Linked DNA regions of Macaca fascicularis. The protein of the gene in region 6 interacts with the protein of the main gene of each other region in a pairwise test. Links are inferred from orthologs where the notes say so. Each region holds a gene or a part of one and is shown on either strand. Other genes may lie near its edges.

Evidence for each region.
Region 1: the proteins of NDN (region 6) and EEF1AKMT1 interact in a two-hybrid assay, tested with the Homo sapiens proteins (2 studies listed by BioGRID and IntAct). The link is inferred for Macaca fascicularis from reciprocal best matches to the Homo sapiens genes NDN and EEF1AKMT1.
Region 2: the proteins of NDN (region 6) and SSX2IP interact in a two-hybrid assay, tested with the Homo sapiens proteins (2 studies listed by BioGRID). The link is inferred for Macaca fascicularis from reciprocal best matches to the Homo sapiens genes NDN and SSX2IP.
Region 3: the proteins of NDN (region 6) and ZBTB1 interact in a two-hybrid assay, tested with the Homo sapiens proteins (2 studies listed by BioGRID and IntAct). The link is inferred for Macaca fascicularis from reciprocal best matches to the Homo sapiens genes NDN and ZBTB1.
Region 4: the proteins of NDN (region 6) and APBB1IP interact in a two-hybrid assay, tested with the Homo sapiens proteins (2 studies listed by BioGRID and IntAct). The link is inferred for Macaca fascicularis from reciprocal best matches to the Homo sapiens genes NDN and APBB1IP.
Region 5: the proteins of NDN (region 6) and SERTAD3 interact in a two-hybrid assay, tested with the Homo sapiens proteins (2 studies listed by BioGRID and IntAct). The link is inferred for Macaca fascicularis from reciprocal best matches to the Homo sapiens genes NDN and SERTAD3.
Region 7: the proteins of NDN (region 6) and MIER2 interact in a two-hybrid assay, tested with the Homo sapiens proteins (2 studies listed by BioGRID and IntAct). The link is inferred for Macaca fascicularis from reciprocal best matches to the Homo sapiens genes NDN and MIER2.

Annotation. Positions count from the first base shown.
Region 1 is NC_088391.1:1,096,669-1,100,759, reverse strand, and holds the start of EEF1AKMT1 (EEF1A lysine methyltransferase 1), read right to left. Parts: upstream 2,801-4,091; 5' UTR 2,078-2,800; intron 1-2,077. UniProt on the Homo sapiens protein: Protein N-lysine methyltransferase that selectively catalyzes the trimethylation of EEF1A at 'Lys-79'.
Region 2 is NC_088375.1:149,985,519-149,989,018, forward strand, and holds part of SSX2IP (afadin- and alpha-actinin-binding protein), read left to right. Parts: intron 1-558; coding exon 559-669; intron 670-2,226; coding exon 2,227-2,362; intron 2,363-3,500. UniProt on the Homo sapiens protein: Belongs to an adhesion system, which plays a role in the organization of homotypic, interneuronal and heterotypic cell-cell adherens junctions (AJs).
Region 3 is NC_088381.1:132,326,036-132,330,031, reverse strand, and holds the start of ZBTB1 (zinc finger and BTB domain-containing protein 1), read right to left. Parts: upstream 2,801-3,996; 5' UTR 2,631-2,800; intron 2,234-2,630; exon of another isoform or gene 961-2,233; intron 1-960.
Region 4 is NC_088383.1:27,300,054-27,303,553, reverse strand, and holds part of APBB1IP (amyloid beta A4 precursor protein-binding family B member 1-interacting protein), read right to left. Parts: intron 3,118-3,500; coding exon 2,958-3,117; intron 1,007-2,957; coding exon 885-1,006; intron 1-884. UniProt on the Homo sapiens protein: Appears to function in the signal transduction from Ras activation to actin cytoskeletal remodeling. Suppresses insulin-induced promoter activities through AP1 and SRE. Mediates Rap1-induced adhesion.
Region 5 is NC_088393.1:47,545,587-47,549,688, forward strand, and holds the start of SERTAD3 (SERTA domain-containing protein 3), read right to left. Parts: upstream 2,801-4,102; 5' UTR 2,764-2,800; exon of another isoform or gene 2,577-2,763; intron 2,433-2,576; exon of another isoform or gene 2,306-2,432; intron 1,523-2,305; exon of another isoform or gene 1,212-1,522; intron 615-1,211; exon of another isoform or gene 451-614; intron 215-450; 5' UTR 209-214; coding exon 1-208.
Region 6 is NC_088381.1:5,296,370-5,299,900, forward strand, and holds NDN (necdin), read left to right. Parts: upstream 1-1,404; 5' UTR 1,405-1,492; coding exon 1,493-2,458; 3' UTR 2,459-3,031; downstream 3,032-3,531. UniProt on the Homo sapiens protein: Growth suppressor that facilitates the entry of the cell into cell cycle arrest.
Region 7 is NC_088393.1:868,137-871,509, forward strand, and holds the end of MIER2 (mesoderm induction early response protein 2), read right to left. Parts: intron 2,429-3,373; coding exon 2,011-2,428; intron 1,629-2,010; coding exon 1,607-1,628; 3' UTR 501-1,606; downstream 1-500. UniProt on the Homo sapiens protein: Transcriptional repressor.

The DNA.
Region 1 (4,091 bases), on a different chromosome or scaffold from region 6:
TTTTTTGTATTTTTAGTAGAGATGGGGTTTCACCATGTTAGCCAGGATGGTCTGATCTCCTGACCTCGTGATCCACCCCCCGCGGCCTCCCAAAGTGCTGGGATTATAGGCGCAAGCCACTGTGCCCGGCCATCGAAGAAGGGCTTTTAAATTACAGCCTGTAACTTGTTAATCACTTAGAAATAAAACATGAAAACCAAAAAGGAATCAGTTGACTTTAAGTGCAAAACAAGGAATTCCAAAGAGCAATTTAATAAAACTGTCTACTTTCATAGCTGTAAAAGGCAATTAAGTTCCAATCTATGTAAGAATTCGATCCCAAAATAAAAGTTTGAAGTGTATTAAATCCATTCCTTTGATAATCATTTTCTACCATGTAGGAAGCACTGTTTGTTCTAGGTGGTAAGTCTCAAAGTCCTTATTCTCTTGGTGCTTACATTCGAGAGGAAGACAGACTAAAACAATACGTATGAAATAAATGTTAGATAACAGTAAGATTAACAGAGGAACACATGGAGAGCATAGGGGGCTGCAATTTTAAGAGTCGTAGAATGTTTCCTACATTGTTAAAGTGAGTTCAAAAGTGCATCACTTCTAATGAGGAAAACTGAAATCGGTTAGCAAGATAAACATCAAAGATTAAATGAAATGGCCGGGAGCAGTGGCTCACGCCTATAATCCAAGCACTTTGGGAGGCTGAGGCGGGCATATCACCTGAGGTAAAGAATTCGGTATCAGCCTGGCCAACATCGTGAAACCCATCTCTACTAAAAATACAAAAACTAGTGAGGCGTGGTGGCAGCCGCCTATAGTCCCAGCTACTCAGGAGGCTGAGGCAGGAGAATCGCTTGAACCCGGGAGATGGAGGCTACAGTCAGCTGAGATCTCGCCATTGCACTCCAGCCTGAGTCACAAGAAACTTCATTTCAAAAAAAAAAAATTAACCTATTTTTAACATTTTTTAAATCACTATCTCATTATAGCTTTATTATTTTTAAAATTTCTAAGGGGGTTTATGATCCAAAAGAGTTGGGAAGTACTGTTATATTATTATCTTTAAATTTTTTCTGGCTACTCTGGGCACACTCTCTATGGGGTGGTCCTGCACCACAAGTGGCAGTAAAAAAATTTTTCTTTATATTTTGAAATTTGTACCTATGGATTATATTGAAATTATATTATTATTAAACTGACCTTGGACCTTATGTGGCTCAGACTCTAGATCAGCAGTTCTCACAGAACGAGGAGCCCTTTTGTCGCTAAGGGGAACATCTGGCAATGCCTGGAGACATTTTTGGTTGCCATAAATGGGAAGGAGGGTGCCACTGGCATCCGGTGGGTAGAGGTTGCCGAACTTAAAATTCACAAGACAGCCCTCCACATCAAAGAAGTATCCCACCCCACAAGCTGCAGCCGAAAAATTCTAGGTTAGGCAGACACATGGCGAACACCAACGGTAAGGTGGACGCCCTCTATAGAGAAGCACCATTCACGCCCTGGGATCAGAGTGGAGGGCCTGAGTGGGGAGAGGAGTGAAAGAGCAGGTGGAGTTTCAACTCGACCTGAAGGAAAGGTAAGGATGAAGAGTGAGGATTTCAGAAGAATGGAACAGCCTGACCAAAGGGTCGGACACGTTGGCTTGCAGCGTAAGCAGGGATTAGCCGGCTTCTCATGGGCTGTGGTTAGTCTCTTTTTGTATAAAATCACTCAATTTCCATGTTACCAAATTTACTTAGGGCAAAACCACCATACTATAATTTCCACATTCATTCTTGTGTGAAATTAGGTTAAGACAGCGGAAAAAGCATTAACCTAGGAGCCATCCCAGACTCCAGTAAACCGCAGGCGAGCGAGACTCCCTCTACGAATGGGTAAGGCCTAGATATTCTCCAAATACTTTTTATAGATTGCTGTATGATTCTACCCTTAATCCAATGTATGTCCAGAAAAGGGCCAAAGGTTTTCATTCTCTTTTCATCTTTGAGTCCCCCTGCCTCAAACAGTTCCTTCCGTATCGCTTTCCAGAATTCCATTTATCCTGTTTTTAAATTAACTTTAAAAAGGAGGTAACGCTTACAGTGAAATGCAGGTCGTAGGTGTGCAGTGCGACGTTGTGATGTACACCGCGTGTAACCACAACCCCCATCAGCAAGGCCTTCCTGTCTGACACGTGGCTCCCTCCAGGATCGTCCCAGCGCTTCTTCTGCACCTCCGAAGCTACTGGCTTCGGAGTAAAGGCAGCAGCAGTGAAGCCGTTTCGCAGTAAAGCCGCCCTCGTCCTAGTCTACTCCACCTCGCAGCCCCCGCACCCGGCAGGGTGCCCGCCTCAGAAGCCCCGGCGACAGGGCCCGCCGTCCAGGAGCGGACAGTCAAGCCTGGTCGGGTATTTCGCCAAATCCCTCCGCGAACTTCTGAGAGCAAAGATGGAAAGGACCGCAGGCCGAGTCCTGTTTCTACGCGGAAGGAAGGCCTCCACGCGCTGCCGCAGCCTAAGGGTTCACGTCCCCCTCAGCACCAAGGCCGCCTGAGGCCCGGGAGCCAACGTGCGCGGCCCAGGACGCGGCCCCTTCAGCGACCCGGACACGAGGCCCGACCGCGCCCAACCAGCAACCACGACCCATTCTCAGGCCGGCGCCAGCTCCTTCCCTCAGGCATCCGCCAGCCACCGCTAACTAAACTCTTCCGCTACCACCGCCCTGGAAAAAAGGTGAGAAACACATACACCAAACGCACCTAACCCAGTCCAAAACCCCTCAGCGGCGCGCAGCCAGCCCCACAGCTGCGCCGGAACCCGCCACTCACCAGCCGCGCGTGCGCAGTCGCCCAGACTCTCCGTGGGCAGTGGGAGGGGCTGGCCAGAGTCGCGCTCGCGCAGGCGCAGACCCTCCCGCCCAGGCGCTTGCGCAAGACAGGCCATCTCCCGGCAGCGTCTCAATCTCGCGTTTACTATCCTGGGGGTTGTCTCCATCCTGGAGTCGTTCCTTCACTTGTCTCATCAGCTGCCTCCAAGAATGGTGGCAAGAGATATTTAAGGCCCTCACAGGGCGCGGTGGCTCACGCCTGTAATCCCAACACTTTGGGAGGCCGAGGCGGGCGGATCACCTGAGGTCAGGAGTTCGAGACCAGCCTCACCAACATGGTGAAACCTCTCTACTAAAAATACAAAACTTAGCTGGGCGTGGCGGCGTGCGCCTTAATCCCAGCTACCCAGGAGGCTGAGGCGGGAGACTCGCTGGAACCCGGGAGGCAGAAGCCACACTGAGCCGAGATCACGCCGCAGCTACTCCAGCCTGGGCGACAGAGCAAGGCTCCGCCTAAAAAAAAAAAAAAAAAAGGAATTAAGATCCTAATTAAAGTTAAACCCACTGTTTTGCACTGAGTCACGTAGGTTTTCAAAGTCAAGGCTTCATTGGTCGATTGCTCAGTCTTTTAATCAAATCGTTGACTTTAAATGTTGATATCAAATTGAGGCTTTGGTAAAATTTAAGGGATTGGCGGTGCGGGGAGGGGAACCTTTAAAACTCGTTAGTCTTTCAGGGTCTTCAGTGTTGAGTCCGTTGATCAATATATATATTTAGACATCTAGCACCGTAAGTACGTACGATTTTCGTCAACAACACCTTAATTATCTGGCACATACAAGCACTGATTATTAAAAGGTTCCCTTACGTTTTAGCAGTTACCAAATTATAAGTGATACAAAGTATTTGTTTTCAATTCCCCAAGAAATCAATCTATATTATGCTCCTACCTCCCTTTCCTCCATTTTCTTTACCAATTTCATGATCTTGCTGAATTTTATATATTCTGCTGAGCAATGTGAAAATCCTTTCTGGTATAAGGTAAGGATATAAACTGTTCAGCTGGCAAATGATGCTATTCAGTAAGTAGTTCATGAAACACTAGGTTTATAACTTTGGATGTACCGTAATTTCCATTTTAAGAACTATTTCCAGTTTATAATAACCCATGCTACATTTTGATTTTGTTTTGAATTGATGACAAGTCTATTAACCAAATATTTCAAGATCAGGTGTATTCTGGAAAAGGAACAGGAAGAAAATATGTTTAAAAAAAAAAAAAAACTAAAA
Region 2 (3,500 bases), on a different chromosome or scaffold from region 6:
ATTCCTCTCTGGGAAGTACCTTCAGAGACTTTACCACCTGCAGGGAGAAGTGGTGTCACACAGAAGTCCCATTTCTGTGACTCGACGTGTTGCCACTTTGCTTGGTCACCCATCTTTTTCTTCAGACGTAGCTCCAAATCACTTCTGCTTCTTTTTCAAAGCCAAGTACACTCTCGAAGGATGATGACATTGCTGTACTTGAGGAGATCTTAAAAAATGTGGTATAGAAGTGTTAAAAAGTATTAAAAATAAACTTTAAAAATATTCAGGGGCAGCATCATGGGAGTGATGCTCTTTCCAGGGATCCATTTTGAAGCACTTTTTTATATGTGTACAAAATTTGATATGTAAATTAAAATTTGATGTGTAAATTTAAATGTTATAATTTTATAGTGTGCTTTGTAATAATTCCTTTAAATAAACATTTCACGTGCCACTAACATATGATTTTGACTAATAAACAGTAGGATGTGTAACTTCTTGTTACTGATCTTTTAAGGATTCAGTTATTCTAAATCCTTTGTTAATTTTAATCAGAATTGCATGTAAATGTTTTAGGAACAACTGGAAACTTCCAGGAGGGAAATGATTGGGCTTCAGGAAAGAGATAGACAGTTACAATGTAAGAACAGGAATTTGCATCAGCTACTAAAGAATGAGAAAGATGAGGTGAGTTGTCAGTTACTGCTGATGAAGTTTAAGTGAATTTTTGTTTTCTTTGTAGTATGAGATGACCATAAGAGCCACTTTACTTGAAAAAAGAAAGAACCATTTATTCATCTTTCCCCAAATTGGTATGGTAGACCTTTGTGTATAGTATTTAACTGGAAGGTCAGGAACCCTCTCCACCACAGCCCCCGCCACCAGTGGATCCATTTGGCTTAGATATTAGTTCATAGCTGGTAACAGCCAGTGTCCTGGACTGCCCTTCCTGGACTCATGTTCACTGTCACTTTTTCTGAGGCACAAGAGTGCTTTAAATGCAGACCTTTTATTCTCTGCTGTACCTGTACGTGATAGCCGAGGTGCCCCTTCTTGCATGCACTGTCTTAAATACTGACATTGTTCATCTAGTCAAGCAGTTTCTTCATTAAATGGGCGCAGAAGCAGTTCACATTAAAAATCTAATTTCTAACACAAAAGATACAATTCTAATTTCTGCTTTAGTGGTTACTTAGCAGAATTCTAATTTCTACTTTAGTGGTTACTTGGACCTATAGCACGAATGCATTTCAAAATATTCTTTTTTCATTTTTGTAGGAAGAAACCATTATGTTTTTATTGCTCTAAAGTATGACCTCTGACCATTTAATAACTATAAAAATATAATAGTTTCAGTGTTTTATGTTGTTTGAACTATAATTAAAGACTTCTGAGGAGTGTATTTCTTTAAAGAACCCTGGAGTGGTTTAGATAGATTTGTTTTACCATATTTGTTTATTTAGTAGTATATTTAATAAGTAGGTAATTAGTATTTAAACTGTAAGCTTGCTTATACATGTTTCCTTGAGTTCACAGACAATTCTGACTAGATCTGTTGATTACATTTAAACGGTTTGAATACAGTTCATCTTCAGTAGGGATTAAGTTAATCATGTTAATCCCTAGCAGGGATTGGGAATGGCTTTATAAAAGAATAGGACATACTCTATCAGGGGCTGCCTGAGAAACTGTAATTGATCTGAACTTTGAACAGCAGTGTCTGGCACGTAATACATACTCAGCAAATATTTGGACTGGATTATTCTGCTGTTTGGACTTACTCTTATTTGAGAATTGTTTTTAATTAGAAAAATGAGCCTGCTTACCTGCTGCCATGTGCCACAGGCTTAATTCACTTTGTCACAGATTAACAAAAAGTATAAGTGATTTTTAAGTCAGTAATACAAGGAGTTCACTTAAAATGATCAGATGAATTCAGTTTATCTCAGATGAAGCTTTAATCATTTTAATACTTCCATAAGAATATCTGGTTTTTAAATGTTCAGAGTCTATATGTAAGGTAAAAGGTACAGGAGATAATTCAGAAAATTAGCACTTCTAGAAATTTCAGAATTAAGCTTTATATGATTCATATAATATTTTAAAAAGTGGTTTCTACTGGTTACAAATAAGGAAGAATCATCCTAGGATTTTAAAACCTATATGGGGAGATGAATTTTAGGATTTTTCTCTTTTGAATTTGTGAATTGTAACTGGGCTTATAATAGCAAATGCCTTTTTCAGGTACAAAAATTACAAAATATCATTGCAAGTCGAGCTACTCAGTATAATCATGATATGAAGAGAAAAGAGCGTGAATATAATAAACTGAAGGAACGTCTACATCAACTTGTTATGAACAAGAAAGATAAGAAAATAGGTAAACAGCTGGCAGCTGGCAAAGATCAGCTAAGGGAATAAATCAGCTAATACTATGCTTAGAAATAATTGTAAAAGGATTGAACACAGTAACTCGTGAAATGTTATTTTCATGCTTTATACAATTGCTTTTCGGTGGTGGTGGTTTATATAAAAAATTTAGACAGCTGGTTAGTGGAAAATAAGTCATTTTGCCTTGCTTTATTTAATTACATGTGTTTTTTAACATGACCAGTGTAGAATTAATCCATAGAGAAAAACTAAGCCAGAGGACATTCTAATTTTCCATATCAAAGAACTGATAATATTAAAAATCAGGGTCAGTTTCTGAGTGTCAAAATAGAGTAAACCTCATAAAATTTATCATCAGACCAAATCGTTCATGTCAGTTTGAGTTCCTTTAAATAAGTTTAGCTGTGCATTTTTGGAGAAACTAGTCAAAAGGATGGACTTTGAAAGTTAGGCATGTGTGTGTGTCTAAAGTATACTTTTTTGCTAATAGTAGGCTTTTTCAAAACGTTAAACCATTTCATCCAAATATGTGGATAATTTCAAGTAGATAGTGTAAATTAAAAAGCAAAGAAATATGAAAGTAGATCTTTAAAATACAGTTTTGCTGGCCTGGTATAAATACGAGACACAAGAAGTGTGTATTTATTTATTGAAGAGTGGTTTCCAAGTGACCATACGTAGTCCTCTAACATACATTATACCATGACACCCCTAAACTGTCTTACCTTAGATTTGAAAAACAGACGATGAGCATACGTTTCAGGCTGTCATGTGGTACACTCTGCCTGCTGTCAGCAAGCAGTTTAGTGTTGACTACATCGCTGTCATTCTACAGCAGAGCTGTTGGAGGTAGCCGAATACTTTATTTTTTAAATTATTGAAAAATAGAAATGAAGATTCAGTAATATGCAATTAAGATTGGAAAGCTTTAGGTATCCTGAGTTAATCTTACTCATTTGGAGAATCATTGGTTTTTAAGGTTAGTTAGCCTCATGTTCATTCATGAAGGAAAAACAATTAAAAAGCAGGATGAAATGCTGAAAGTATTGTTTTAAATTTATTTTATTTTATTATTATTATTATTATTTTTTGAGACGGAGTCTTGCTCTGTCGCCCAGGCTGGAGTG
Region 3 (3,996 bases), about 130 Mb from region 6:
CATCCCCAGGCAGAGTGAGGCACACACAGCAGCACAGCTGTAACCAGGTTTTAAACAAGGAATTGACTGTACACAGTGATTCTCTCTGGGGAGTGGGAGTCAAAATGACTTTCATTTTTGTATTTTATATACTTCAGTACAGGCTGAATTTTTACAAAGAGCATGGATTTTATAATAAAAAATTACTTACATTTTGAGAAAAAAGACATGAATAACCCTTAATTTGGTTCATATAAGAATATGAGAAAAAACAATTTCCGTTTTAGCATGAGATACTAGCACGGAAGAAAATGTCAGGAGAAAACATTCTGTAGAGACCAAAGTGACCTCTCAAGAAGATGTTTCTCAAATATATCTCAATTTTTTGGGAAGACAACAGATTGCAGCTTATTAACAAAAATCTACGGGAATTTTTCTGTATTTCTGTATCAACAGTTTCCTCTCCTTTGCACCAGAAGGTGAAGAGCAAAGGCTTAGTGCTTTTCCTGGCTAGAGGGCAAGTCTGAAAGCAGGTACTTCTTTTCTCCTGCACATTAGAAAGGGAAATGATGCTACAAATAAAACGAGATACTCTTAAAAAGGTCCATGAACTATATCTTCCCCAGAGCCTGGCAAAAGAGGAGAATGAGGAAGCAGTACAAAAATTTAGAAGTGTTAAAGTGAGATCAAAGCACAAGGTCAAGAGCAAGTGGCTGTGACTGCGCTCATGCCCTGCTAAGGCCCTGGTTAAATATGGTTTCTCTTTTCTCTGACAATGATACACCAGTCCCTTCCCCACAAAAAACTCGAAAAAGTAGGCCATCATATTAGGAGTGGGAAGAATAGAAAGGCTTCAGGAAAGACTGCTCTACCCGAGTTATTCAATACCATGAAAATGTGGTATTAATGGAGAAAGACTGCTCATAAAATGAATGTAAGAGGTTAACTGAAGGCTCTACTGTAGACGTTGTGTCTACTAACCTTTGTAAAAGCATTTCACCTCCACCAGGCTTCAGTTTCCTGGTTTTTGTTGTTGTTGTTTGTTTTTTGGAGACGGAGTCTCACTCTTGTTGCCCAGATTGGAGTGCAGTGGCGCGATCTCGGCTCACTGCAACCTCCGCCTCCCGGGTTCAAGCGATTCTCCTGCGTCCGCCTTCTCAGTAGCTGGGATTACAGGTGCCCGCCACCACGCCAGGCTAATTTTTGTACTTTTAGGAGAAATGGGGTTTCGCCATGTTGGCCAGGCTGGTCTTGAACTCCTGACCTCGGGTGATCCACCCGCCTCGGCATTTGGGATTACAGGCGTGCGCCACTGCGTCCGGCCCAGTTTCCTGTTTCTTTAAGAGGAGTAAGCCGCTTTCTAGCTCCCAAAGTCATCCAGTTATTATTGAGACTTTATTAGATATCCAGCAAGTGATTCAAAAGCAAAGTTTTGAGGTTCTGAGCAAATGATGGCCAGCCATCATTCAAGCCTCATCTTTTTGTACTCAATTTTCCCCGTTTCTCCACATCATATCTATCTGCACTGATAAAATTTCATGGAATCTAATTTCTCCGTTTCAAAGAAGACTGTGATTGCTCTGTAAATTACAAGAACTGCATCCTTCACCAAATCTGCTTCAGAGTGCCTCCAACTTCAACTCAAGACATTGATCCTAGGTTGCCTCAAAAAGCCTCGGACCATTCCTTGGGTTCGAGTGTCAAAGGGAACACTGTTCTTGTAGTGATACATACCGTATGGAAACACTAACACCAATGAAGAATCTGCGTGCACCGCCACACTGAAACTCGATTTAAGAACATTATCACACACATACAAATGTCCTATCCCCGGAAAACGTCAAGGATTTTCATCAACCTCTTCCTGATGCGCCCAATTTAGAAAATGTCATGTCAACCCTTCAGATCATGTACACGCGTTGCTTAGGTAGAAAGGGAGACTGGGTGGGGTGGCTGAGCTCAGACCTTGCCTACATACTTTAGTAGTAAACGACTCCCGATCTGCATCCAACATATTTACCGAACTTCTAAGTAAGCGCCCACCGCTGCAAGCGAAAGCACTTCCTTCCCAGGAAACAGATCTTTTCCACTTAAAATTCCCAAACTCAGACCTTCCACTTTTTACTGAACAAAAAGCGTGTGTGCCGGCGAGAGGGGGTGGGAAACAGCGTAGCAAGAATTTGCGGCTCTTACGCCTCCTCCCTCGGAGCGCGCCCAAGTCTGCAGCCTCGGGCTCCGGGACACTTCCCCTCCCACCCGCCGCGGAGCCGCAGCTGTAAGTTGAGAGAAGCGGGCTCCAGGCACGTCAATCAACCGGGTTCTCCCGCCTCCCGTCTACACCTCCCCTCCCCCCCTCGAAAAAAATAAAGGCAGAGAAAGAAAGAAAAGAAGGTAACTAATTTGGGAACTAGTCTCCGTAAGGGCTTTGCCTCCGACTCAGGGAGGCCGCACGCCCGGGACCTGACGCGCCGGCAACAAGCAGGCGGCCTGGCAGCCGCCCGTCACCGGGTCCTTGCAACGCGTCCGCCGCGCTCCGGCTCCCCGCACGGGTCGGCGCCGCTCCGGCCCCGCACTCCGCCAGGCCCGCGGCCCGTCGCCCTCCGGCCCGGGCGAAAGTTGCGCAAATAGCCCCACAACTGGCAAATACTTACCGGCCGCAGCAGGAACCAGAGCTGCGGAGATTTTAGGGAGTTTAAGGCAAATCAGCCACGGCAAAGGCGGGCGGAGGCGAAGGGGCCGCGAGCTGCAGTGGCGGCGGCGCTCGGCGCTCGGGTTGGGCTGCGCGGAGAGGCTCTGGCTCTGCCAGGGACTGTGCTGCAACAAAGGACTTCCGCTGCCGCACAGCCGCGCCTGCCGCACCGCACTGAGCCGGCCCCGCTTACGCGGCGACTCCGGGTCTGCCCACCAGTTCGCTGCGGCGTCCGCCAGCCTTCCCCTCCCTCTCGCCCGCCCACCCACTCTGCCGCTGGCTGCTAGGGGCACCCGCGGTCGCCTGTTTGTTGCAACAAGTTTCTGCGTCGGGCTCCGAGGAGGCTGGCGCAACCCGCACCGCGGGGGCTGTCGCGGCAGCGGCGGCTTGACCACCCCTCTCGCCCCTCTCTCAAGGGTAGGCTTGGGACCTCCTCCTCCTCCTGTTTGCACAGCTGGATGTGACTGGGCTCCTCCCGACTCCCCAGGGCAGTATGCGCGGCTGTTTTCCCACTCTGTCCAGATGTCAGACCCCTGCCCCGTTGGGCCCAGCAGCTGGGCCGTCCCTCGCGGTCCGCCTCGAGTGCTTCGGAAACCTCGCTCTGTCCGGTCGGTTCAGGGTCGCCTAGTCCCCGCGCTCCCCCCACCCCACCTTCCGTGGGCCTGTCCGCCTCTGGCCCTGAGTCACTTCCCTCGCCATGCCCCACCTCGCCCAGTCCGCCTCTCCACCCAGGCTCCCGCGGCTCGGCCTCCCTGGCCCCGCGCCCTCATCCCTTCCCCAGCGAACACGCGGGCGCATCCTTCCCCACCCCCACCTTCACCCCAGAACTGAGGGGGTGCCTGTGCTTTTGCACACCCTGGGGAAAGTCCCCGGGTCACGCGGTTGTTTGTGGGGAGCCTGTGACGCTCAGGCTCGTCCCTGTGCTTCCGCCTACAGAGTCACGACTGCGAACTGTAGCGGCAGCGCTCAGAGCGCGGGCCGACCCCCGCCCGGCTGCGGGCGGGAGGGCGCGCACGTACGCACGCACGCACGCACGCACACCCTGGCCTTGGCGCCCCTCGTTCCCCTGCTACCAGACACGCGGTCACGTGGGGCCATCGCGGGCTGCCGGCGCGGGAAGCCGCGCGAGAGCCAGCCGCGGGGTGCGTGAGCCGGCTCCACCGCTTGCTGTGCGCGGCTTGGGAGCCCGCCCCTCCTGCACGGAGGAGTCGGCTTGCCGCCGCGGCGGCATCTGGGTAAGCGACGCGGCCCAGCCCTTGTGGGCTGCCCCGGTCTCAGTCCCTCCCGCCGCGAGCCGCCCAGGGCGGCGGCCTGCAGCTGCACCGGTC
Region 4 (3,500 bases), on a different chromosome or scaffold from region 6:
CTCACACAATTATAGTTGCTCGAGGCCTCAGTTGGGAAAAAGCCTGGAAATCCTTGTACACATGACTTGAAGGAAGCATTTTCAAATATGAAGAACAAATATGAAAAAAAGAACACATATAAATTTATGCTTTTTACTTGCACAAATTGTTTGTAACGAAATCACAGTAACTTGCACATTTTCCAGGTGGTCCTTTTAGTTTTCCTGGCAAATATAAGCACCAAATACAAACAACAAAGAAAAGAGCATCTTTCAAGCAGGAAGCAGGAAGAACCAACAGTGAGTGCATGAAGATATATCGGATTAATACAGCCACACAGAAACAGGGACAGAAGAGAATCAGACAACCACAGAGAGATACATTTTGGATTTGGAATGAAAAAAAAGCAAAATGGATTCTTCTCTTTCTGAATCCTTCAAAGGGCTGTTAACTTACATACAGCTTAAGAGCTGAGTCTGTGTTTATTTGAAAATAATATATTTGTAATATTTTGTGAGACAATGAATGGTGTGGTTAGTATACAGGTGACATTAAAACAAATCCTTGGCCGGGCGCAGTAGCTCATGCCTGTAATCCCAGCACTTTTGGAGGCAGAGGCGGGCAGATCACGAGGTCAGGAGATCGAGACCATACTGGCCAACATGGTGAAACCCTGTCTGTACTAAAAAATACAAAAAAGTTAGCTGGGCCTGGTGGTGCATGCCTGTAGTCCCAGCTACTGGGGAGGCTGAGGCAGGAGAATTGCTTGAATCTGGGAGGCGAAGTCTGTAGTGAGCCAAGATCATGCCACTGCACTCCAGCCTGGGCGACAGAGTGAGACTCTGTCTTAAAAAAGAAAATCCTTCATACTTTATAGGGTTTAATAATATGCAGGTCATCTTACCTGGGGGTTTTTAAATACAGCATATTTCTCCTCTTTCTGCAAAAATAGTACTTTATTTTCTGTGTCTCTTGTCCAGTCTGATAAGACTTCAACAACATTTTCATGGTCTTCGAAAAACCTCTCTGATGAAATAAGAAAAGGTATTCTTTCAGACCCAAGACATCAGGGGTTCCAAGTGAGAAGCAAGCTATTACTGAGTTAATCTTCATGAGTTTCATCAGGTGCCTAGGATTCTTATTAATAATTCTCACATGATGTCACACTGTAATATTTCTATTATGTTTATCTTTCATTGTCTTCAAGTTATCTTCCATTAAAAACAAGATGAAAAAACCCATAACACAGGCCGGGCACGGTGGCTCAAGCCTGTAATCCCAGCACTTTGGGAGGCTGAAACGGGTGGATCACGAGGTCAGGAGATCGAGACCATCCTGGCTAACACGGTGAAACCCCGTCTCTACTAAAAAAAAATATAAAAAAATAGCCGAGCGAGGTGGTGGGCGCCTGTAGTCCCAGCTACTCGGGAGGCTGAGGCAGGAGAATGGCGTGAACCTGGGAGGCGGAGTTTGCAGTGAGCTGAGATCCGGCCACTGCACTGCAGCCTGGGCGACAGAGCGAGACTCCATCTCAAAAAAAAAAAAAAAAAAACAAAAAACCCATAACACAGTGACAATGGTCAGCTGTCACACTTTTTTCTTTCATTTTGTTTAAGAGATGGGGTCTCACTGTGTTGTCCAGGCTGGAGTGCAGTGGCTATTCACAGGCTCAAGGCTCAAGCAATCCTCTTGCCTCACCCTCCCAAGTAGCTCGGCCTACAGGCATATGCCAGTGTACCCGGAGACATACTTTTTTCATACCGACATTTTTTACCTTAAATAGTCCCAGATGGTGGCAAACATTCTACGTGAGGTGGACAGTCAGTCAATGACTGGTGGAACACTTTGAATGAAATTGTGAGAGTCACAGTGTGTACTCCAAAACATCACTCCTTAACATTCTAAAAGCAACGTGTGAATGCTTGAATTAAAACATAAAGAAAGGCTTTCATTTCTTCCCTTGACACATAGAACTGAAGACAACTTCAAGGGACTGTTTTAGTGTAAACCATTTTATCCAGAAAAAAAATTGCTCCTAAAGCTTCCAGCACAGGCAATTCTGTCCCACCCAGCTCTCCTGAGGGACGACTGTCCCATTATTAAAAATGAGAAATGTGGTATGTGTGCCTATAGTCCCAGCTACTCGGGATGCGGAGGCAGGAGGATCGCTTGAGCCTGGGAGCTGAGGCTACAGTGACCCATGACTGCGTCATTGCACTGTAGCCTTGGTAATGGAGCAAGACCCTGTCTCAACGCCACCACCACCACTACCTAGAATGAGAAGTAACAGTATATCTTCAGTTAACCTTTTTTCCGCTTTTGAAAAATTCCACCAATTTCTACCAATTGTTCTTTGCACTCTGAGGCTGAGCCTCTTCCACAAGACAAAGTGTCAGAGATTAAGCAAGTGGGGAGGGAGGAGGGGGAAATGAGCACTGGTGGGAGACTGTGGCAGGGTTATGGTCGGTTAAGGAAGCAACCACTAAAGAGGCATTAGCCGACAGATACCCAGCCTCTTCTGCCACCTGCTCAGCTTATTAACCATGCAGTATCTTAGTCAGTATCATCCAGTCGCTTTCTTTCCCAAATGGAACCACTAGAGAAGCAGCAGTAATAATGCTTATATCCCCCAAGGTCTGGCCACCACCTGCTAGAATCCAACTCTCTTCACTACAACAAAATGAAGAGTCGAGCACTAAATCTCATATAAGGGAAGTGAAAGCCTTGAACCAAAGTCTTCTCAAGGAAGAACCAGGCCAGGCATGGTGGCTCACGCTTGTAATCCCAGCACTTTGGGAGGCCCAGGTGGGAGGATTGCTTGAGCGCAGGAGTTTGATATCAGCCTGGGCAGCATAGTGAGACCCCGTGTCTATTTTCTATGTAAAATTAAAGAGAAAAAAAGAATAAACCCAGGCCCGTAATACAGCAAACCCACAAGGTTTTTGGAGTACAGCCCATTGCTGCGGATGGGACTTACCAATTTGTAGTTCCGGGTAGATTTCATAAAGACACCAGTCTACACTGCAGTCACAATGAGTTTTCTCGAAAAGGTTGTCCAGAACATCTCGGGCTAGCTGCCGCTCATCCACCATCAGTGACTTTGTGCCGTTGTCGTCCATGTGCACCTTGACGACGAGCTGAGGATAGAACCATGAGGCAGCCAGTAAATTTCAGCAACTGGAGAAGGCTACTAAGATAAAGGTTTCAAAGTTGCTACTGTTTCTGCACATTTATATGAGAATGTGTTTGGTGAACTTGCTCCATCTAAACTCACTTGCATGCCAGGCACTTGTTTTAGGTGCTAGGATTATAGAGGTGGAGAAACCAATTCACAAAAAGAGAAAATAGATAATAAACAAAGTCCTTGTTTAGCCTTCAGAGACAGGGCATTCTGGTGGCAGAGACAGAAAACAAAGAGAACAAAAAAAGTGCTAGCTTCTTTCTTTCCCAATAATCTTTCCCTTTTCTTATTCCATCCTGGAGCCCAGAAACTTTTCTAGATTAAAAGCTATGCCTGTAT
Region 5 (4,102 bases), on a different chromosome or scaffold from region 6:
GAAGTGCAGCCTGCAGCTGCTGGAGGGTGTTATGGATGAGGACATGCCTGCGGAGGCTGGGTGCTCGGGGGCCCAGGCTGCGCTGGACTTTGTCTAGGGAGATGCGGAGCAGGGCTTGCTGGTAGCTCTGAAGGCCTGCTGGACTCCACTCCCACCTCTCCTCCTCCTCTTCCAAATCAGAGTGTTTCCTCTTCAAGCCTCCCACCATGATGCCCTGTAGAGAGAAGAGGGGCATAGGGGCATGTCAGACACCAGACACCGTAGTGCTGGCTCAAATCCCACTTTTTCAGGCCTATTGAGTTGTTGGTGATTTTTAATCATCTGAATCTCGGTTTACTCATCTATAAAATGAAGGCTGTCTGAATCCTACAAGGTTAAGGAGGTGAATACATATGTGATTAAGAAAATAAGATCTGGACTTAAGTACAGCTAGATTTAAATCCCACTTACTTGCCTATTGTGGCCTCAAACAGTGAATTTACATCCATGAGAATCAATTTCCTCATCTGCCAAATACGGATCCTAACAAGTTCCTCTGAGCCTTAAAACTGTTCTTCCACAATATTAATTTCTTCAAACATGGAGCACGAAAGACAGGTGTGGAGCAGAGAGACCTGGATTGGAACTAGGGAACCCCAAATTTGATTTCTGTACTGGAAACTGCTCAGCTGCGTGATCGTGGGAAGTGACCTGAGTCAATTCTCAGGCCTCAGTTTCCTCATCTGTAAAATGGGGACTGTAAAAAAAATACTTCTCACCACCTCTGTCTAAGGAGATGCCACGTATCTATAGGGCCCACCACACAGGAAGTGCTTAATGAACCAGAGTTGTGTTTTTTTTTTTTTTTTTTTGAGACGGAGTCTCGCTCTGTCGCCCAGGCTGGAGTGCAGTGGCCGCATCTCAGCTCACTGCAAGCTCCGCCTCCCGGGTCTACGCCATTCTCCTGCCTCAGCCTCCCGAGTAGCTGGGACTACAGGCGCCCGCCACCTCACCCGGCTAGTTTTTTGTATTTTTTAGTAGAGACGGGGTTTCACCGTATTAGCCAGGCTGGTCTCGATCTCCTGACCTTGTGATCCGCCCGTCTCGGCCTCCCAAAGTGCTGGGATTACAGGCTTGAGCCACCGCGCCCGGCCGTGTTTGTTTTTTTTTGTTAGAGACAGGGTCTCGCTCTGTCGCCCGGGGCTGAGTGCAGCAGCGCTACCACAGCTCACCGAAGTCTCGAAGTCCCGGGCTCAAGCGATCCTCCCGCCTCAGCTCCTGAGTAGCTGATTACTCCTGAGTAGGGATTACTACCACACCCGGCCTCGATCAAGAGTTAATTGCCAGTTATACGCTCAACAGATTTACTGAGTGCCTACTATATTCGAACTTCCTGGGTCCCTGCTGGGGCACCTATGTTAAGATTCTTCTTTCACAGTCAGGATATTTCCATGTCCTCTTCCTTAACCAACTGGGAGCGCTCCCAAGAGTAGGAAAGGGGCCTCATTCCCTCTGCCCGCGCTTTCAGATTCCCCCAAAGCGCGCCCCACAGGAAAACTTGCTAGAACTCAGCTCAGACCAAGCCCCGCCCCCTAGGGGGGTCCCGCCCAATCAGACCTCGGCACTGCAAGGCCCCGCCCCTCCATGGGTCTTTAGAGAGCATCCAGGAACGCCCCAATTTGTCCCAGGGGCTTCTGGGAAACGGGGGCCAACAGCCGCCAGGTACACGAACCGACGTCGAGCACGCACTACAATCCCCAGAGGGCTCCGCCCGTCCAGGGGACGAGCCCCCCTCCCCCGACCCCGCTCTCCCTCAGGGCATGCGCACAGTGGCACAAGCGAGTGGGGGAAGGGAACCCGGACGTCCAGCTGCCGGCGCCCACCGAGCCCCGCCCTCCGTTGCCTCCGGGGCGGCGAGTCTGAGCTCCATGCCCGGAACACCCCTCCCCCACCCCTGACTCCGGCTCTAAATCTGCTTTCTCCCTGTCCCTCCGTGCCTTGAAAGTCCGGGATTCTCCTCCCAAACTGCCCTTGGATCCAGAGACCCAGATCCGAACACATCGCTCAAAGACGACAATGCTGCGATCTAGTTCGCGAGACTACGTATCCTAATTTTGATACTTCCTCCCACTTCCCCTATTCTCCTGACTTTCAAACGCCCCTGGACTACACCTCTAAACTCGCTGCCCGGCTCCAAGACCCGAACATTGAACTCTTCCCGGCATCCTCCCTTCCCCCGCCAGTGCGTCTTGGAGTCCAAGAATCCTTGACCCTAGCTCTCTCGCTTCTCCAAATACTCAGGATCTCAGCCCCAAACCTCTCACACCTTTTCCAGAACACGATAAAGCCCCGAATTCAACCCGTCCGGAAGACCCAAGTGGAATCGAATCTCCAGGTTCCCTGTCTCAAAAGTTCCTTCCCTCTGTTCTCTCGCTTCTCCAAACGCCCCACGCCCCACGTCCCAGCTTCAAACTCCCTCCACTTGAAAATACTGCCCCAACAACCTCGCATCCCCTCCTGGGTCTCGAACTCAGTCTCGGGCCCCCAGACCCTCCCTATCATCACCCTGAATCTGAGGCCCCCTCCCCCGGTCTCACCCAGACCCCGCCTCCGCAAGTCTCCGGGGCGCGCCTCTCCCTCCTCCAGCCTAAGGTAAATTCCCAAGCCAGGCGACCACTCCTCACCCCAGCTGCCAGGTTTGCCACGACCACCTCCTGGAACGCCCACAGCGTCGCGACCCGCCAGTGCCGGGACCCACCAGTGACCGGCCGGGGCCTCGCTCACCTCGGCAGGGCCTCTCCGTCTGGCTTCGGGCCCACCCAGCCCCGCCCCGGAGCCGAGCCGCGAGCCGCGATTGGCTGGAGTCCCGCCCGCCGCGGGGCGTCGATTGGCTGGGCGGAGCCATCCACCATTGCCCGGAGACGCCGGACCCGCCCACCCCTCCCTAGCGCCCCGGGCCATTTAAAGGAGTGCAACTGGCAGGGGGCGGGGCAGCGCCTCCAGGGGTGGAGGGCGGCTGGTCCAAGAGAACCGCTTCCTTCCACTGGGCTACGGTCCTCGCTCCAAGATCGTCACCACTACTCCCTGCAGTCCCTTTTTGCCAGGCCTGGACCCCACCGCGGAGCCAGAGGGGCTGGCATACCCTCTGGCTCCGGGAGGTCCAGGCAGGCGGGGCCGAACAACCGGAGGAGGTCGCGCCCCCGGGGTTCCGAGGGCGGACGCCGGGGCGGGGGATGACGTACCGAAAGGCCAGCCAATGGTGTGACGCGGCCCGCGTTGCCTAGGCGATCGCAGCCCCGCCCCCTTGCTGCGCTTCTCCCGCCCCCCGTACGTTACCCCGCGGCCCCTTCTTAATCCTCGAGTTTTCTCAACGCGTCCTCTGGTGGTCCTACCTGGGTCTCCTGACACCTCTCTTCTTCCCCGCTCCAACAAGATGACTCCTCCGCTGCTGTTCATGGCTTCCTACCCCTCCTCCCCGAAGACAAACTTCAAACCCCTTCCTTTTGCCACAAAGCCCCTCACGACCTTGCCTGATGCGCTCTCCTGGTTCTCTCCGATCCTGCCCCATTGAGTCACTTCCAGTTTTTCTAAAATGGCTTCAAGCTCCCATTCCCCCCATCACGAAAACGAAAGGATTTTGTCTGTTTGTTTTCTTCCCTGCCTTACCCCAGTGTCTACAATGCCAGGTACATAAGTTCTCAAACATGACAATAAAAGGCCTCTGGATCTTTATTATTTATTATTATTATTATTATTATTTTTTTTTTTTTTTGAGACGGAATCTTGCTCTGTCACCCAGGCGGGAGTGCAGTGGTGCAACCTCGGCTCACTGCAAGCTCCGCCTTCCGGGTTCACGCCATTCTCCTGCCTCAGCCTCCCGAGTAGCTGGGACTACAGGCGCCCGCCACCACGCCCGCCTATTTTTTTTGTATTTTTAGTAGAGATGGGGTTTCACCGTGTTAGCCAGGATGGTCTCGATCTCCTAACCTCGTGATCCGCCCACCTCGGCCTCCCAAAGTGCTGGGATTACAGATGTGAGCCACCGCGCCCGGCCTGGATCTTTATTATTAATAATATTATTTTTTGCCTGGCGCGGTGGCTCATACCTGTAATCCCAGCACTT
Region 6 (3,531 bases):
ACTGATATCTAGGAATTACCCTGGTGAAGTGGGAAGCTAAAGAGCCTGTTGGAAGGACTGGTGTGGGAATGGCTCTGCCAAAAGTGTTATGTGCATGCAAACCCAAAGAGAGAGAGCACAGAAAACCCTTCAACATCAACCTGCTTGAGGAAAAATAAAGTGACAAGTGGGAAAAGATATATACTCACAGCGAGGACTCTAGACATGTTAAGACAATTTTTAAATGTGCTTTTGGCTTCGAGTGGCAATAATTAGACTCAACATATTTAAGAAGCTACTGATGAGAAGAAACCCTGGAAGCGCTGAAGGACCACATCAGCCCAGACCAAGGATGCTGAAGCAGCATCAAGGCCCTTGGTTTCAGAGGCTCCACCAATGACCCTTTTTTCATGGAGAGCCTGTAGGAGCGAGTTTTGTCTTTGCCCAGTGGGAATCTGTCTTCTATACTTGGAAAACAGGGTTACCCATGTTGCCCCTGCTACCCTTGGGTCATCTCAGAGACACTACCAGATATTACCTATGAGACCTAGTTGTTTTTTTTTTTAAATCTCAGGAAGGACTTGGGTGTGGCTTCCAACGTGGAGGACTCAGTAGCTTCAGAGAGGGTCCTGGGAGAAGGTGAATCGGAGAATAAGGGTGCTGGGCAGAGGGAAAAAGACATTATCATACAAGTTTGTGCTAAAAGATATAGCAATCCTTCTGCTATGGACTAAGTATGGAAAAAAATAAAATGGAATCAAAGTGACCCAAAGGAAATGTAAAACCCAAATTTATGCCCACTAAAGCATTAATGATGCTCTAAGTCCGCTGCCTACTTAAAAGGTTCATAGTTCACATGGGTTGACAGGAAATTACGTTAAGGACACGCTGCATTTCTCCTTTTCTTACAACCCCTCTGATTTGGTAGGGAGGGAGTCAATCATTTTTTATTGGAATTTCTCAGGATTCCAACCTCAGACATACACTTTACACATTTTCTTGGACAAGCCCGACTGTTCCTCTCACTCGTTCGCATAAAGCTCAAGTTTACACAGCCGCCCAGACCTTTCTCTGGGACGCTCATATTTAACTTAATTCTGGATATATCAGGTAAGCGTTTCCCAAGAAACTTGACCCCAACATCCCAAAAACTTAAGTTATCATCTTTCTCCTAAACTGGCCCCTTCTCCAGTACGCATCCATCGCACTCTTCTCCTGCCCTAGATCCCCTCAGCCCAAACGGGAAACCCCGGGATCGCTCTCTCCGCAGGTGAAGCTTAGCCAGGGACCCTCCCCGTCGGGGCTCCGCGCTGCCCCGCCCGCCCCCAGCCGCTGGCCAAGGCCGCAGTCGCGCAGGCGCAGTGCCGCGTCCCGCCGCCGCCCCGCCCTGCCCGCCGCTGCGGAAGGCGCCGCGCACAGCAACGCGCACTTCCTCTCCAGGAATCCGCGGAGGGAGCGCAGGCTTGAAGAGCTCCTGGACGCAGAGGCCCTGCCCTTGCCAGACGGCGCAGATATGTCAGAACAAAGTAAGGATCTAAGCGACCCTAACTTTGCAGCCGAGGCCCCCAGCTCCGAGGTGCACAGCAGCCCTGGGGTTCCGGAGGGGGTTCCTCCGTCCGAGACCCTGGCAGAGCCGCAGAGCCCTCCTTTAGGCCCGACGGCCGCCCCGCAGGCCGCGCAGCCTCCCCAGGCCCCGAGCGACGAGGACGACCCGAAGGCCCTGCAGCAGGCCGCGGAGGAGGGCCGCGCCCACCAGGCCCCGAGCGCGGCCCAGCCCGGCCCGGCCCCGCCAGCCCCGGCGCAGCTGGTGCAGAAGGCGCACGAGCTCATGTGGTACGTGCTGGTCAAGGACCAGAAGAAGATGATCATCTGGTTTCCAGACATGGTGAAAGATGTCATCGGCAGCTACAAGAAGTGGTGCAGGAGCATCCTCCGGCGCACCAGCCTCATCCTCGCCCGGGTGTTCGGGCTGCACCTGAGGCTAACCAGCCTGCACACCATGGAGTTTGCGCTGGTCAAAGCGCTGGAGCCCGAGGAGCTGGACAGGGTGGCGCTGAGCAACCGCATGCCCATGACAGGTCTCCTCCTCATGATCCTGAGCCTCATCTACGTGAAGGGCCGCGGCGCCAGAGAGAGCGCGGTCTGGAACGTGCTCCGCATCCTGGGGCTGCGGCCCTGGAAGAAGCACTCCACCTTCGGGGACGTGCGGAAGCTCATCACTGAGGAGTTCGTCCAGCAGAATTACCTGAAGTACCAGCGCGTCCCGTACGTGGAGCCGCCCGAGTACGAGTTCTTCTGGGGCTCCCGGGCCAGCCGCGAAATCACCAAGCTGCAAATCATGGAGTTCCTGGCCAGGGTCTTTAAGAAAGACCCCCAGGCCTGGCCCTCCCGATACAGAGAGGCTCTAGAGGAGGCCAGAGCTCTGCGGGAGGCTAATCCCGCTGCCCACTGCCCTCGCAGCAGTGTCTCCGAGGACTAGCCAAGTCTGGAGGCAGATGAATGCTTTCTGATCCTCACCAGGGCTGTGGAAGGGTGGGGGTGGGTCATTAGAGTGTTCAGGATTTACAGTGCAGTATTCACGTGTAACTTTTACGTTTCCAGTACAGTGCTTTTATACCTTTAATGCAATGTTGTATTCATTTGGGTACTATTGTGTAGTATTTAGGATGTATGCATGTTTGTTTATATGTAAGCTTGGTTGGTGCTTTCGCTTTTGTGGTACCTTTCTTGGATTTTTGTATCAGAGACGTGCTAAACTGATGAAGTACATTGAGAACGTTTCCATCTTATTAATTTACATGGGACTGAGATGTGTGTTGGGGTAGACTGCTCCTGCAGAGTTTGGAAAAACTCACCAGCAAAGCCGGCCTAACCAAGAAATGTCAAGGCCCTCATGACCTTGCTGGGGACTGAAAACATCCTCGTGGCGTAAACTAATTTGAACTGGACTGGTCTCAATGTGAGAGCACTTGGCACACTTTACTAAACACATATACAACCCCACCGTGAGTCAACTTTAAAGTAAACATTAAAGATTCTTGTGATACAATCATTTCTGGAAGTGTACGTTATCATTTTAACAAAGCAGTATGGTTGGGAATGAGACAATTCTCTGTTTTACAGTATACACAGATATAACTGTTTCCCCTAATGGGGTGGGAAAAATCGCTACTCATGATTACTCCTAAATTTGTGAAGTTTGTGGTTTTGTCTTTAACTCATGTTTATTTCAAAAACATGCACAAATATAGAAAAGCATAAAAAACAAAACAGTAAGATTGTCCATAATCACATCCTATGGGAATAAAAACCAAAAATAATTTCCTTAAGTTTCTACATTTTATCAAAATTAATAGATGCTTTGTGGGCACTTAAAGAGTGAGACATTGTACATGAGCCCTGACGTGTATTTTTCTCCTTTTATCTAATCCTCACAACAGGCCTGTCAGGCAGGCAAGAACTGCCTCTGCACCATGGAGGAAACACAGGAATAATGTAGGTAATGGACTTTCCATAGCTCATACAGGTTAATAAGAGAAGGCGCTAGGACTA
Region 7 (3,373 bases), on a different chromosome or scaffold from region 6:
ATCTCAGCCTCATGCCCTACTGTCCCCAACCCGCCCAGCCGCTGCCCTCTGTGCCCTCAGCTTCTCCTGTAGACCCAGGCCTCTGTCCTCTGCATCGGCTGTCACGCCTGCCAGGACCCTGCAAACTTCCAGCAAAGCAGGGCCATTCCCCTTCAGGTTCCAGCTTAACTGTCACTTCTAGGAGGCAGCGCCGACCACCTCTACCCAGACGTGGGCCCTCCTCACATCCCGTCCTCATGGCCACAGTTCCCTCACTGACGTGGACATGGAGCCCACCACGTCATGCCCCCACTGCACCCCCTCGCCTCTGTGGCTCACAACTTATCCCGGATCCTCCAACAGACATGCAGGCCCCCAAGTGAGATGACAGGGACACCTGCCGCCCCCAGCCCCCACCCAACCCACCACCAGGCACCCCGGGCGCCCCCAGCCCCCACCCAACCCACCACCAGGCACCCCGGGCGACCCCAGCCGCCACCCAACCCACCACCAGGCACCCCGGGCTTCAAATCAAGTTTAATAAATAAAACAGCAAGGGGGGGTTCAAGGCAGTTATCACTTCACAGTGTGGTCCTTGGTGGGGTGAGGGATGGTCGAGTCCAACTCAGAAAGGGGCTCGAGCACAGGAGGCTGGACGACGCCCGGGGCAGGGCACGCCGCGGCCCACGGAGGACCCCACGCCAACGTGTAAACAGAAACAGAAACGGACAGGGGTCGGGGAAGAGGGACCAGGACTCCAAGCCATCTTGCTGGGAAGCTTCCCACAGAAGGAAGACCTGCAGGGCTGGGGAAACAGGCTGGAGTCCGGCCCCTGCACGGCCGGCAGGGCCAGCTCCTCTCGAGGCTCCCTGCCTTGGTACCAGGGGAGGACAGCAAAGGGGGTGTAAGTCACCTGTCTCCTCAAACCCACGCCTGGGGTTGCTGAGGGGCCCCCACCCCAACCGCTCAGGATCGGGAACAGGGATGGAGGGGAAGAGGCAGGTGGGGGTGTAAAGTGCGGCTTTTCCTGAAGTGGAGACGACGGGGTGGGAGGGGAGGCCGGGCTGGGGGCCGGACAGCGAGGTATATGGCTCTGTGCCCCACGGGGTTGGCACTGAGTAGCAGCTGCCCACGACCCCCAGGGCTGGGGCAGCCCGCGGCCCTGCCAGGTGTGGAGAGACAGAGCCAAGCAGGGAACGGAGGGTGCCCCGGCGGAGGCTGCTGGTGCGGGGCGGGGCGTCCTGCCCGTCTCCCCGCCGGGGCAGTGACACCTTCCCTCGCCTCTGCGGGCTGGAAGGGACGAGGCGGCCGGCTCTGCCCCGAGTCCCAAAGGCCGGGTCTTTTCTGTCCACGGCTGCCTGACGGATCCCACATGCAGGCAGCAGCCTGGACCCGGGTGGCAGTGCCGGGCGCTGACGGCGTTGTGTGTGGCTCTGGGTCCAGTCTGCATGGCCGGGGCAACGGCGCACGGCCCAGCCACCTCACACCAGTCCTGACGTGTTCAGAAGCAGAGGAGGTGCCACCCCGAGGCCCGGGGCGGGGGAAGGGGTCAGGAAGACTGACAGAGGCGGGCCCAGCGGCAGTGCCAAGTCCAGTCTGGGCCGCATACGCCGCCCGCGGCCAGGAGTCAGCAGGTCATCACATTACAGCTGCAGGGAAGACACGGAGAGAGACGCGGGGCGTCAGGGTGGCCCCACATGCCTGCACAGCCCAGTGCTGAGCGCTGGACTCGAGACTCCCAGCCTTGCCTCCCCGACAACCTACGGCAGCAGGGCCCGGGTGCTCTGGGGGGAGCTTGTGGCTGGAGCAGGGGTGGGAGAGCCTGGCACCTGCCCCTATTTGTGGAGCATGTGGACCACACGAATGTATTCTCCAGTCAGAAAATACATGCAAGTCAAGAATAACCCTAAAGCAGCCCCGAGAGCCGCTCGTGGAGCCGCGCTGTCCTTGGGGCAAACCCTCAGCGCAGCCTGAGGGCTGGGGGACCTCACTGGAGTGTCGGGGAAGCTCCGGGCATGGGGTGGCACTCACTGTGACAGGGGCTCCGAGTGTAGCCCGGGGGCCGGGCACGTGGGGTGGGCGGCCAGGAAGGGGTTCACGTCCCCAATGCCAATGAGTCCAAACTCGGTGACCGACAAAGCCACCTGCGCAGGGGCCACAGTCCCCTCCGGGTCCCCGCTCAGGTCCACACGGCTGGAGATGAGAGGCAGCTCCTCGGGCAGGGCGAAGTCCACAGCCAGCCTTGGGCCGGCGTCTGCCTCCGGAGCGACGACAGCCGGCGGGTACGAGGCCGGGTCGGCCAGGGCCGGAGGCGGACGGGATGGGGGTCCGGCGGGGGGCTCGTCCGGCTGCCGGAAGGAACAGGGCCCCGGCTCCGAGGACGGGAGGCCATCAGAGGCCACCGCAGGCTCACCGAGACCACCGGCCGTGCCATCCACACTCAGTGGGTCTGTGAAGAGAATGCAACAGAGGGTGGGGCCGCCCACAGGCACCAGGCTGCGGCCATGCCACTCCTGTGCCAGCTCCTGCCAACCCTGCTGGGTCCAGCAAAGCCTGTGGATCCCTCCCTAAAAAGCCTCTGTACAAATACAGAAGAACCAGGTACCCGGAAACCTGTGAGCCCCCAGGTTAAAGACCCCAGTTTTAGAAGGTCATAAAATCCACCGAGTGGGTCACAGCCCACATCCGTGACACCAGAGCAGACTACAAGAGACAAGGGTGTGAGCAAGGCCTGGGGCACTGCGAGGGTCGACACAGCGTCTGGGGAAGTTCCGTCCCACACGCAGCCGCACCGTCCCACACGCAGCGCACGGGGCCGCACCGTCCCACACGCAGCACAGGGGCCGCACCGTCCCACACGCAGCACAGGGGCCGCACCGTCCCACGCACAGGGGCCGCACCGTCCCACACGCAGCACAGGGGCCGCACCGTCCCACACGCAGCGCACGGGGCCGCACCGTCCCACATGCAGCCGCACCGTCCCACATGCAGCCGCACCGTCCCACACACAGCACAGGGGCCGCACCGTCCCACGCACAGGGGCCGCACCGTCCCACGCACAGGGGCCGCACCGTCCCACACGCAGCACAGGGGCCGCACCGTCCCACACGCAGCACAGGGGCCGCACCGTCCCACACGCAGCGCACGGGGCCGCACCGTCCCACATGCAGCCGCACCGTCCCACATGCAGCCGCACCGTCCCACACACAGCACAGGGGCCGCACCGTCCCACGCACAGGGGCCGCACCGTCCCACGCACAGGGGCCGCACCGTCCCACACGCAGCACAGGGGCCGCACCGTCCCACACGCAGCCGCACCGTCCCACACGCAGCACACGGGGCCGCACCGTCCCACACGCAGCGCACGGGGCCGCACCGTCCCACACGCAGCGCA